3 linked regions of the Xenopus tropicalis genome follow. The protein of the gene in region 3 interacts with the protein of the main gene of each other region in a pairwise test. Links are inferred from orthologs where the notes say so. Each region holds a gene or a part of one and is shown on either strand. Other genes may lie near its edges.

Region 1 (3,752 bases), on a different chromosome or scaffold from region 3:
AAACCATCACTAAGAACAAAGGGGGGAGTTCTGGTTGGTACCGGCGGTTCCTCTATTAAGGATGGTGTTAGTGAGACTGGCTCCGCCCACAGTTTGAGACCCTCTGCCCAATAACCATGGGGAGGGCTCGCCTTTGGGAAAAGGAACCTAAGCCCAGGTTAACCCTTCCCTAACCAGCACAGCACAATACATGCACCTGCACAGGCAGCAAATGGAAACATAGGGTTAATGGTGAATGAGCCAATCAGGTGCTCACACTGTAGCAGCGCAGGGGACTGGGGGACACTTACCTACACACATCCTCTTCCTCTGCGCCATACAGTCCGGCATCTGCACTGTCCCCTGTGCCCACAGACATGGCTCCCTGGAAGGGAAGGGACACATTATTCTATGCACCCACTCACAGACATGGCTCCCTGGAAGGGAAGGGGCAGGGTAATGGCCGGGCTACTGGGCATATGGGCAGGGTAATGGCCGGGCTACTGGGCATATGGGCAGGGTAATGGCCCGGCTACTGGGCATACGGGCAGGGTAATGGCCCGGCTACTGGGCATACGGGCAGGGTAATGGCCCGGCTACTGGGCATACGGGCAGGGTAATGGCCCGGCTACTGGGCATACGGGCAGGGTAATGGCCCGGCTACTGGGCATACGGGCAGGGTAATGGCCCGGCTACTGGGCATACGGGCAGGGTAATGGCCCGGCTACTGGGCATACGGGCAGGGTAATGGCCCGGCTACTGGGCATACGGGGCAGGGTAATGGCCCGGCTACTGGGCATACGGGCAGGGGTAATGGCCGGGCTACTGGGCATACGGGCAGGGTAATGGCCGGGCTACTGGGCATACGGGCAGGGTAATGGCAGCGCTACTGGGCATACGGGCAGGGTAATGGCCGGGCTACTGGGCATACGGGCAGGGTAATGGCCGCGCTACTGGGCATATGGGCAGGGTAATGGCAGCGCTACTGGGCATACGGGCAGGGTAATGGCCCGGCTACTGGGCATACGGGTAGGGTAATGGCCCGGCTACTGGGCATACGGGCAGGGTAATGGCCGGGCTACTGGGCATACGGGCAGGGTAATGGCCGGGCTACTGGGCATACGGGCAGGGTAATGGCCGGGCTACTGGGCATACGGGCAGGGTAATGGCCGGGCTACTGGGCATATGGGCAGGGTAATGGCAGCGCTACTGGGCATATGGGCAGGGTAATGGCCGGGCTACTGGGCATACGGGCAGGGTAATGGCCCGGCTACTGGGCATATGGGCAGGGTAATGGCAGTGCTACTGGGCATATGGGCAGGGTAATGGCCCGGCTACTGGGCATACGGGCAGGGTAATGGCAGCGCTACTGGGCATACGGGCAGGGTAATGGCAGCGCTACTGGGCATACGGGCAGGGTAATGGCCGGGCTACTGGGCATACGGGCAGGGTAATGGCCGGGCTACTGGGCATATGGGCAGGGTAATGGCAGCGCTACTGGGCATATGGGCAGGGTAATGGCCGGGCTACTGGGCATATGGGCAGGGTAATGGCAGGGCTACTGGGCATATGGGCAGGGTAATGGCCCGGCTACTGGGCATACGGGCAGGGTAATGGCCGGGCTACTGGGCATACGGGCAGGGTAATGGCCCGGCTACTGGGCATACGGGCAGGGTAATGGCCCGGCTACTGGGCATATGGGCAGGGTAATGGCCGGGCTACTGGGCATATGGGCAGGGTAATGGCCGGGCTACTGGGCATATGGGCAGGGTAATGGCAGCGCTACTGGGCATATGGGCAGGGTAATGGCCCGGCTACTGGGCATATGGGCAGGGTAATGGCCGGGCTACTGGGCATATGGGCAGGGTAATGGCCGGGCTACTGGGCATACGGGCAGGGTAATGGCACCGCTACTGGGCATACGGGCAGGGTAATGGCAGGGCTACTGGGCATATGGGCAGGGTAATGGCCGGGCTACTGGGCATACGGGCAGGGTAATGGCACCGCTACTGGGCATATGGGCAGGGTAATGGCCGGGCTACAGCATTGTGCCAGTTGGACCCGAACCCCTGGCAGTATATTGGGCCAGACATTGGCTGTAGCTCCAGCCTTTCCCACCTCCTCATAGGAATATTATTACTGCCCCCCCCCCCCATATGTGTCGGTAGGTAAGTCGGTAGGTAGGTAAGTCGGTAGGTAGGTAAGTCGGTAGGTAGGTCGGTAAGTCGGTAGGTAAGTCAGTAGGTCGGTCGGTAGGTAAGTCGGTAGGTAGGTACGTAGGTAGGTAGGTCGGTAAGTCGGTAGGTAAGTCAGTAGGTCGGTAGGTAGGTAAGTCGGTAGGTAGGTCGGTAAGTCGGTAGGTAGGTCGGTAGGTAAGTCGGTAGGTAAGTCGGTAGGTAGGTAAGTCGGTAGGTAAGTCGGTAGGTAGGTAAGTACGTAGGTAGGTCGGTACGTAGGTAGGTCGGTAGGTGGGTCGGTCGGTAGGTGGGTAGGTCGGTAGATTCCCCTTCCTTTCTGCCATCAACTACAAACAAGCCGGAGAGCCCCCGGGGCAGCAGCGTAACAGTGACCCCTCCCTCTCCCCCAACTCACCGATACTCCCGGTATTCCCCTCTTCCGCAATCCTCCTCTCTACCGGAACCTCCGCAACTCTGTAGGTCACTCGCCGGAAGTACCCGTCCCCATAGCAACGCCCAGCCGGAACAAGCCCGGAACCTTATACCCACAATCCCCAGCTCCTCCCCTTACCCCAGGTCTAACCCTCCCACAATCCCCAGCTCCTCCCCTTACCCCAGGGCTAACCCTCCCACAATCCCCAGCGCCTCCCCTTACCCCAGGTCTAACCCTCCCACAATCCCCAGCTCCTCCCCTTACCCCAGGGCTAACCCTCCCACAATCCCCAGCGCCTCCCCTTACCCCAGGGCTAACCCTCCCACAATCCCCAGCGCCTCCCCTTACCCCAGGGCTAACCCTCCCACAATCCCCAGCTCCTCCCCTTACCCCAGGGCTAACCCTCCCACAATCCCCAGCTCCTCCCCTTACCCCAGGTCTAACCCTCCCACAATCCCCAGCTCCTCCCCTTACCCCAGGTCTAACCCTCCACAATCCCCAGCTCCTCCCCTTACCCCAGGGCTAACCCTCCCACAATCCCCAGCTCCTCCCCTTACCCCAGGTCTAACCCTCCCACAATCCCCAGCTCCTCCCCTTACCCCAGGGCTAACCCTCCCACAATCCCCAGCTCCTCCCCTCACCCCAGGGCTAACCCTCCCACAATCCCCAGCTCCTCCCCTTACCCCAGGGCTAACCCTCCCACAATCCCCAGCGCCTCCCCTTACCCCAGGGCTAACCCTCCCACAATCCCCAGCTCCTCCCCTTACCCCAGGGCTAACCCTCCCACAATCCCCAGCTCCTCCCCTTACCCCAGGTCTAACCCTCCCACAATCCCCAGCGCCTCCCCTTACCCCAGGGCTAACCCTCCCACAATCCCCAGCTCCTCCCCTTACCCCAGGTCTAACCCTCCCACAATCCCCAGCTCCTCCCCTTACCCCAGGGCTAACCCTCCCACAATCCCCAGCTTCCTCCCCTTACCCCAGGTCTAACCCTCCCACAATCGCCAGCGCCTCCCCTTACCCCAGGACTAACCCTCCCACCAATCCCCAGCTCCTCCCCTTACCCCAGGGCTAACCCTCCCACAATCCCCAGCTCCTCCCCTTACCCCAGGTCTAACCCTCCCACAATCCCCAGCTCCTCCCCTTACCCCAGGGCTAACCTCC
Region 2 (3,752 bases), on a different chromosome or scaffold from region 3:
GGGAGCAGGAGAGGGGAGAGAGGAGAGAGCTGCGTGTGTCTGGCACAGGAAAACAAAGAGACAACAAATCCTGTATCTTTTAACAGAGAACTCAGTGCAGCGTTTCTGTGAGTGCTTATGGCTGTATTTACATAGACCTTTCTGATAAAGCTTACTTAGTTTTTACCTTTCCTTCTCCTTTAATGCTAATGTTATTAATAGGGAAAATAGCTAAAAATATAGGAAGGCCAGCATCTTTTTCGAGAAAAGGTGGCAACCCTAGTGCATACCTCCCAACTGTCCCGATTTTCGCGGGACAGTCTCTCTTTTGGCAGCTCAGCCTGCAGTCCCAGATTCTTACTGAAAAGTCCCTCATTTCCCTTTGATCTTCTGCACTGAAGCTAATTTAATTAAAAGTAGCTTTTGGCAGAGACCCCACTTAGATACATTGCACTTAGATACATTGTTTCTCACATTTAATGAAATAAGTGGGCTTTTGGCAAAGAACCCAGAAAGGTAAAGAGCCCCCCCCTGCACTGAGATACAAGTGTAACTAATAAGCTAAACAGACCTCTTGGGGGAACTGAGACTTGCAACTTAAAGGACAATTTCATCTTTTCAGCAAAACTATAACACATAAAACAAAACCCCCAGAAATGTAAACAAACTATAACCTGCCAAATGGGAGTGGTATTTAGGGGGTGTGGTCGCAAAAAAACGGGCGTGGTCACAAAGTAGCTGTGCTCTGCATTTTTTTTTGTCCCGCTTTCCATTTTCAAAATGTTGGAAGGTATGCTAGTGTAAGTCTGAGCTGGGGCGGGGAGTTTTGCCATAATCTTGAGCTCATTATTGTGTTCAGCACGCAAAAGACTTTACATATAATCATAAAAGCACGAAACAACATGCTGTTAGTTATGTACATAACATTTGAACCATATAAAGTTCGCCACACATTATTTCACCCCATGTCAAGCACTAATATTACACAAGATGGCGCTGACGCACCATTAGGAAATAGAGAAATACGCTTTCCGTTGCTTTTTTTTTTTACTACACCCAAACAACCATCTTGGCTTATAAGCAATGGACATGCCTTCAGAAAATGGCGCATAAAATAGCGATCCCTATTGGTGAGGATGCGGCTGCAAATAATTTCCACTTCCGGGGTGAAGTTAGACTGATATTTTCGTCATGGGCGAGGGGCGTATTTAGCTTTTCTGCGTTAGAGCAGGGATTCTCCTCCAGTTTATGCCATGCTAGAGCTAGATACCGGCCCCTGATAGTGAAATGGCGTGGGTACGCACCGCTTTGGAAATCCAGCAGCTTGGAGGGGAGGCAGAGGTGTTTGATGAAGATGGAGACGAGATGCGCCTTTTGCAGCGAGATTGGCAGCTGTCCATGGAGAAGAGAATTAAGGTATTCGGGAGATAGTTAGACTAACATAGCGAGTTTGGGGGCCCCTTTCTAGGCATTGCCCTATTTTACTGGTAAGTGATTTCATGTGCTCCTGGTTACCTACCCCAAGGCATACATTGAGAAGCAGGTTTTCTGGGAATTACAAGGAGGTTGGTAAAAGCGGGGCTCTGTTTTACCTCAGGGCACTGCTGTGTTATGGAGCACTCGCATCGGGGTTTCAATGTTTGTCGCAGGAATTCGGCATTTCTTCTAAACACACACATGTTCTTTCTGTGTGGCCCAAATAGCTAGTCAGTAGTAGTTCAATATAGCACACTTTATTAATTATAATCAAGAGTAATGTGCTAATAAAGTTAGTCCGTTCATTGAAGGTCAGTGGAGTTTGCCCTAATTCAAGACTAACCTACCTCATTTCTCTGCCTTGTCATTGCTTTATACACAACTTTCTTACCTGCACCCAAGCTGTGATTCGGGGAAAGTAGAATAATCACTCCCATTTCAGAACTTTATCAGTCGTTACACAAGTAACTCATTATGAAGTTACTGGTTGACCAGGTTACACTAATTCGGGGATCTTTTTGTGAGCCACAGTCAAATGTAAAAAGACTTGGAGAGCAACACAAGCATCATAAAAGTTCATGAAGGTGCCAAATAAGGGCTGTAATTGGCTATTAGGCAGCCTCTATGCACACTATCAGCTTACAGGAGACTTTATTTGGTAGTAAATCTTGTTTTTACTCAACCAAAACTTGCCCCCAAGTCAGGAATTCAAAAATCACTACCTGGTTTGAGGCCTTGGGGAGCAACGTGTTGCTCACAAGGCACTTGTTGGGGATCACTGCACTAATTAGTCCCATGTCCTACCCACCTACACATTAACCCTTTCACTGCAAGCAGATTTGGTCACAACAGAACGTTTATTGCCAGACAGTTTTTGAACATTTTGCGCTCTTTCACTTTAGAGGCCTTTTCTCAGGGTGGACTTTTAGCTTACCCAGGAAAACAATATATTTTTTTCAGGGCAATCTAAGCTTTCACAATATGCTAGAATTTTTGTGTAATGCCACTTCTATAACAATATAGGCTTCTAAATATCTATATTTAAGTGTATGTGCTTGGCAGATAGAGCCTTTTACTGCCAGCACATACAGCCTACGTGCTTGGCAGTGAAAGGGTTAAAATGGCAGGGAAAAAAATGTACCGTATCCACCAGTATATTGTCTGTTGGATATGTAGGATGCAGTAGGCATGGAGTTTTAAGTTTAAATTAATTTTAGGTTACAGATGAAAACTATTTTAACTGCTTTAATTTTGTGGAATGCTTGTTTAGTTTGAATTTCTATTCTTGTATTCGTAGGAGGGCTACGTTGATGGAATAGAGGCTGGGAAAGAAAATTCTCTACAAACAGGGTTTAATTTTGGATATAAAGTTGGAGTGAACCTGCTAAAGCATTACGGAGAGCTTAAAGGGATCTTAAGGTAAGTTGTATTGTATTTTATCTTCACTTCTCCAGTTATTTCCGACAGCTTTTCAGTCACGGGAATTACAAATGTTTAATGTGTCAAAATGCTCAGGGTGCTTTTATAAGCAGTATTAATTTTTCAGTTTTAGAGCTATTTAAGTTTTTATTAACTGCCAAAATAATAAAGTTTGTAACATCACTGCCTTCTGGTTATTTCCTGCAGTTGTACAGTCAAAGAGAGCTACCTTTTTAATAAAAAAAAAAAACAAATATTGTGCTGTTGCTTTGCTTAGGAAGGAGATGGGAAAAGGCAATTGGGGCTTCTGATCGCTTTCCTGTTTCTGTTCTGAATGTAAGGTTTGTATGTCTTTGACTGTACAATTTCAAGAACTGAGGTAGCAATATTACAAAATTCATTATATTGGCAGTTAATAAAGACTTAAATAGCGCTGAAAGATTTAACATTACATATTTTTAAGAATTGTATATATTTTTGGCAGTTCAGAAGTTTCTACACTTTTGTTATATAAGCACAAAACTGAATTATCTCATGTGAAAAAAGGGGGGCTTTTTCCCCTTTAAAGGGTTTCTTGTCACGGCTACTAAACACCAGAAAATCCCCTGCCATAGAAAATAGAGAATTGCCTCTGCTAAAACACATGTAGAGACAGTTATCAGTAAATGATCAGCATTGTCTGTTTTAGTAGCTGCAACAAGTAGCCGCTACTAGTAGCTCCGTGTGTCTTCACCCTTACAGGAAGAGCAACATTTTTTTTTTTTCTCTAATTTTGATAATTGACAGCCATGTGACTTGTGCTTCGATAAACTTCAGTCACTCTTTTAATTAAGTATTTTGCAACCTACTGCTAGCTCTTCACAAATTTGTAAAATATT
Region 3 (3,652 bases):
ACATAAAAAGTGAATTATGGACGGTTATTTATGCAAAATGTATTATATATTAGATTCGCATAGATTGCTTCATTCTCTATCAAGGCTGTAATCAAAGCTGGGCAAGGTTTGTTTTTTCCTCTGCAAACTTTCAGCCATTACTGGTTTGTATTTGGTTTGTATCTACTGGTTTATATCTGCCACAATTGGGCTAATACCCAAGTGACAGCACTGGAAGGCAATAAGAATTATGAAAGAAAGAAAAGAACAATGGCTCTCATATGAAACTGAATCTGCAAGCAGGTTAAAGTCGGCTATATTATGGGCTAAACGAGGGGATCTTTCACCACTTTGTCAACCTAAGGTGGGCAATATTAGGCCGATTCAATTGCTTGGCCCGAGTGCAAAACGACTGGATCTCAACAAATGAGATTTGGGTCAAAGACCCCATCAACAAGACGACAAGGTCCTCAACTTGAAGGGGAAATCAAACCTGCCCTTCAACATATACTTCATTTTTGGTGTTACAATATATATTGGTTGCTTCATCGATTGTAGGTCCTTTTCACTTTATACTGTTCCATCATTTAGGCTGTTAGAGCAAACAAACAGACCAACAGAAAGGTGCCCATACGGAGTATAGCCACTCATTTAGTATCAGTCTATCACCCAGCTGATCAGATATAGGCAGGTATATGGCAGCCTTTAGGAACACATTTATAGCTGCAAAAGTAGGCTCTATAACAGGAATAACACTACACATTTATTTCTCAACATTTGCCCACTTGACAGCTGAACAGAAACAGTTTGAAAAGCAAATACAATTACTTCAAACTTAAATAAGGAAACCTAAACAGAGACAGGTAGGGTGCCATTAACATATTAAATACTGCTGCACAGAGACCCTGAAGACCCCTCCCAGAGTTCCTGCCCCTTTTGTTGTATCTGCTCCTTAGCCTATTCAAGACCATTCTGTTTTTCACAGGCCATTAATTACTAGGAATTTGTCCAGCTAAGACCTAACCCTAATGTGCCATAGGCAAAACACTTCCCTCTTTAACTTCACTATTACATATGGGTCACCAATCTGTTAGGTAAAGTTTCCACTAACAGTAACAAAAATGGAATCAAAATATGGTATATAAATGCAAATGCAGAATTTCTAGGCTTCCTGAGAATAAGTTTAAAGGAATACTGTTATGAGAAAACTTGTTTTTTCCCAAAACCCATCAGTTAATAGAGCTTCTCCAGCAGAATCCTGCACTGAAGTCTGTTTTTCAAAAACACATTGTTTTATATTTAATTTTGAAATTTCACATGGGGCTAGCCATATTCTTCATTTCCCAGGGTGCCACACCAATGTGACCTGCACCCTGATAAACTTCAGTCACACTTTACTTCTACGCTGCAAATTGGAGTGATCCCCTCCCCCCCCAGCAGCCGATCAGCAGAACAATTGGAACGGCAGCAAGATAGCAGCTCCCAGTAGGTATAAGAATAGCACTCAATAGTAAGAAATCCAAGTCCGGCTTGGGACTCTTCCAGTTACATAGGAGAAACAATAGGTTAGCTGAAAGCAGTTCTAATGAGTAGCGCTGGCTCCTTCTGAAAGCTCAGACTCAGGCACAATGCACTGAGATGGTGCCTACACACCAATATTACAGCTAAAAAAATCCATTTGTTGGTTTAAGGAAAAAAAATTAAATGGTAGAGGGAATTATTTGCTATGTTAACAGTGTAATTTAGAAATAAAAAGTACATCAAAAAAATTATGACAGTATCCCTTTAAGAAACACCAGTATAGACTTACTTTCTTCGTCGATTTGTCTCTATGCTTAATTTCTGCGCTCGAATTCGACATAATTTTTGTTCTTCCAGCAACTCCTGTCTTTCTTCATCCAAGTTTATTTCCAGATGTGATTTTTGGTTTCTTAAAGCAGGACTGAGTTAAGGGATATGTCTTGATTGATAAATGTAAATGCTTATACATTTGACTTTGTTGTTGTTTATAATGGTAAATTGAAACTATCAGCTTTCAGCAAAATATTCATTCGTACTGCCCAATTCTCACCCTTACTGGCCAACTCTAAAGGTGGCCATACACGGACCGATTCTAGCTGCTGATATTGGTCCATTAGACCAATTCGGCAGGTTATCAGCCTGTGTATGGGCACTAACGACGGGCCCGCGCGAGCGATATCTGGCCTAAAATCGGGCAGGTTTGATTTTTCATTGGATCAGGGACCGCATTGGCTCGTTGATGCCTGGACCAAAATATTAATTGTTCATTTATATTAAAGGGGTTGTTCACCTTTGAATTAACTTTTAGTTTGATGCAATGTTTTATTATATGTGGTTTTTAAATTATTACTCTATTTGTTCAACAGCTCTCCAGTTTGGAATTTTAGCAGCTATCTGGATGCTAGGGTCCAAATTACCCTGGCAACCAAGCAGTGATGTGAGTGAGACATTGGAATATGAATAAGAGAGGGCCTGAACAGAAAGAAAAGTAATAAAATATATCAACAACAATAAAATAGTAGCCTCACAGACTAATAGTTCTAGGGTCAGTGACCCCCATTTGAAAGCTGGAAGAAGTTGGAAGAAAAAGGCTAATAATTTAGAAACTATAACAAATAAAAAATGAAGACCAATTGAAAAGTTGCTTGCCATTCTATAACATACTAAAAGTTAATTTGAAAATGAACTGCTCCTTTAGGTAACAACCTATAATTATGTCACAGATGAGCTACAATGGTACATGTGTAAACTCATCAGCTAGCTTTTCCTTCACCAGCATCTCACCATGCTTATACATATGATAAAATGGTTTGTTCTTCCTGCCTTGACAATTGCTTGTCTGTTTACTCATTTGAAAATCACAATTGCTTGCTACATCGTAAAGCATGACTTCACTGCTCCCCACAGGGCATAGTAGACATCAGTCATATTAATATCATAAAGTATCCTGAATTGTCAAGGAACAAAGCAGCCTTGTAGTTTTATTAATAGATTATACAGACTTATAGACTTAATTATAGAACACAAAGTTTCTGCAGCACTACAACACATCATTCAACGCTGTACAAATAAAAGGTTTGACTTTGAAGTGTGACGTAATGGCAGCCGCACAATGAGAAATATTTGCAATATAGTTTTAGCTAGATCAACGCTCGAATGCTGCAATTCAAATTTTAGTAAAATGCAGACAGTGATATTCTAATACAATCTGCAATTTTTTAAATGAACGATTTAGCTTTTTTGATCAGCAACTCTCCAGTTTGGAATGTCAACTGCTATCTGATTGCTAGGATCACGTTTACCTTAGCAAGCAGGTAGTGGTCTGAATGAGAGCCCTGGAAGATGCCTAGGAGAGGATCTGAATAGAAAAATAAGCGATAAAAAGTAACAATAATAACAACACTGTAGTGGTATGGAGCAAAAAAATTTTGGCTGCTGGTGTCAGTCACCCCCAGAAACTATAAAAAATTATCATATATACCAAAAAAGGGGTAGGAACTCAAGAAATCACGTAGGTCACCAAAAAGTATAATAAAAACTAGGGATGCACCGAATCCAGGATTCTGCCTTCTTCAGCAGGATTTGTGTTTGGCTGAATTCATGCTCCCGGCCGAACCAAATCCTTATTATTATATAAACACGGAAGTTGAAA

The links.
Region 1: the proteins of cep126 (region 3) and hmox2 interact in a two-hybrid assay, tested with the Homo sapiens proteins (2 studies listed by BioGRID and IntAct). The link is inferred for Xenopus tropicalis from reciprocal best matches to the Homo sapiens genes CEP126 and HMOX2.
Region 2: the proteins of cep126 (region 3) and yae1 interact in a two-hybrid assay, tested with the Homo sapiens proteins (2 studies listed by BioGRID and IntAct). The link is inferred for Xenopus tropicalis from reciprocal best matches to the Homo sapiens genes CEP126 and YAE1.

Annotation. Positions count from the first base shown.
Region 1 is NC_030685.2:302,068-305,819, reverse strand, and holds the start of hmox2 (heme oxygenase 2), read right to left. Parts: upstream 2,661-3,752; 5' UTR 2,572-2,660; intron 365-2,571; 5' UTR 359-364; coding exon 291-358; intron 1-290.
Region 2 is NC_030682.2:64,476,978-64,480,729, forward strand, and holds the start of yae1 (protein YAE1 homolog), read left to right. Parts: upstream 1-1,129; 5' UTR 1,130-1,266; coding exon 1,267-1,395; intron 1,396-2,752; coding exon 2,753-2,874; intron 2,875-3,752. UniProt on the Homo sapiens protein: The complex LTO1:YAE1 functions as a target specific adapter that probably recruits apo-ABCE1 to the cytosolic iron-sulfur protein assembly (CIA) complex machinery. May be required for biogenesis of the large ribosomal subunit and initiation of translation.
Region 3 is NC_030678.2:162,394,764-162,398,415, forward strand, and holds part of cep126 (centrosomal protein of 126 kDa), read right to left. Parts: intron 1,910-3,652; coding exon 1,790-1,909; intron 1-1,789. UniProt on the Homo sapiens protein: Participates in cytokinesis. Necessary for microtubules and mitotic spindle organization. Involved in primary cilium formation.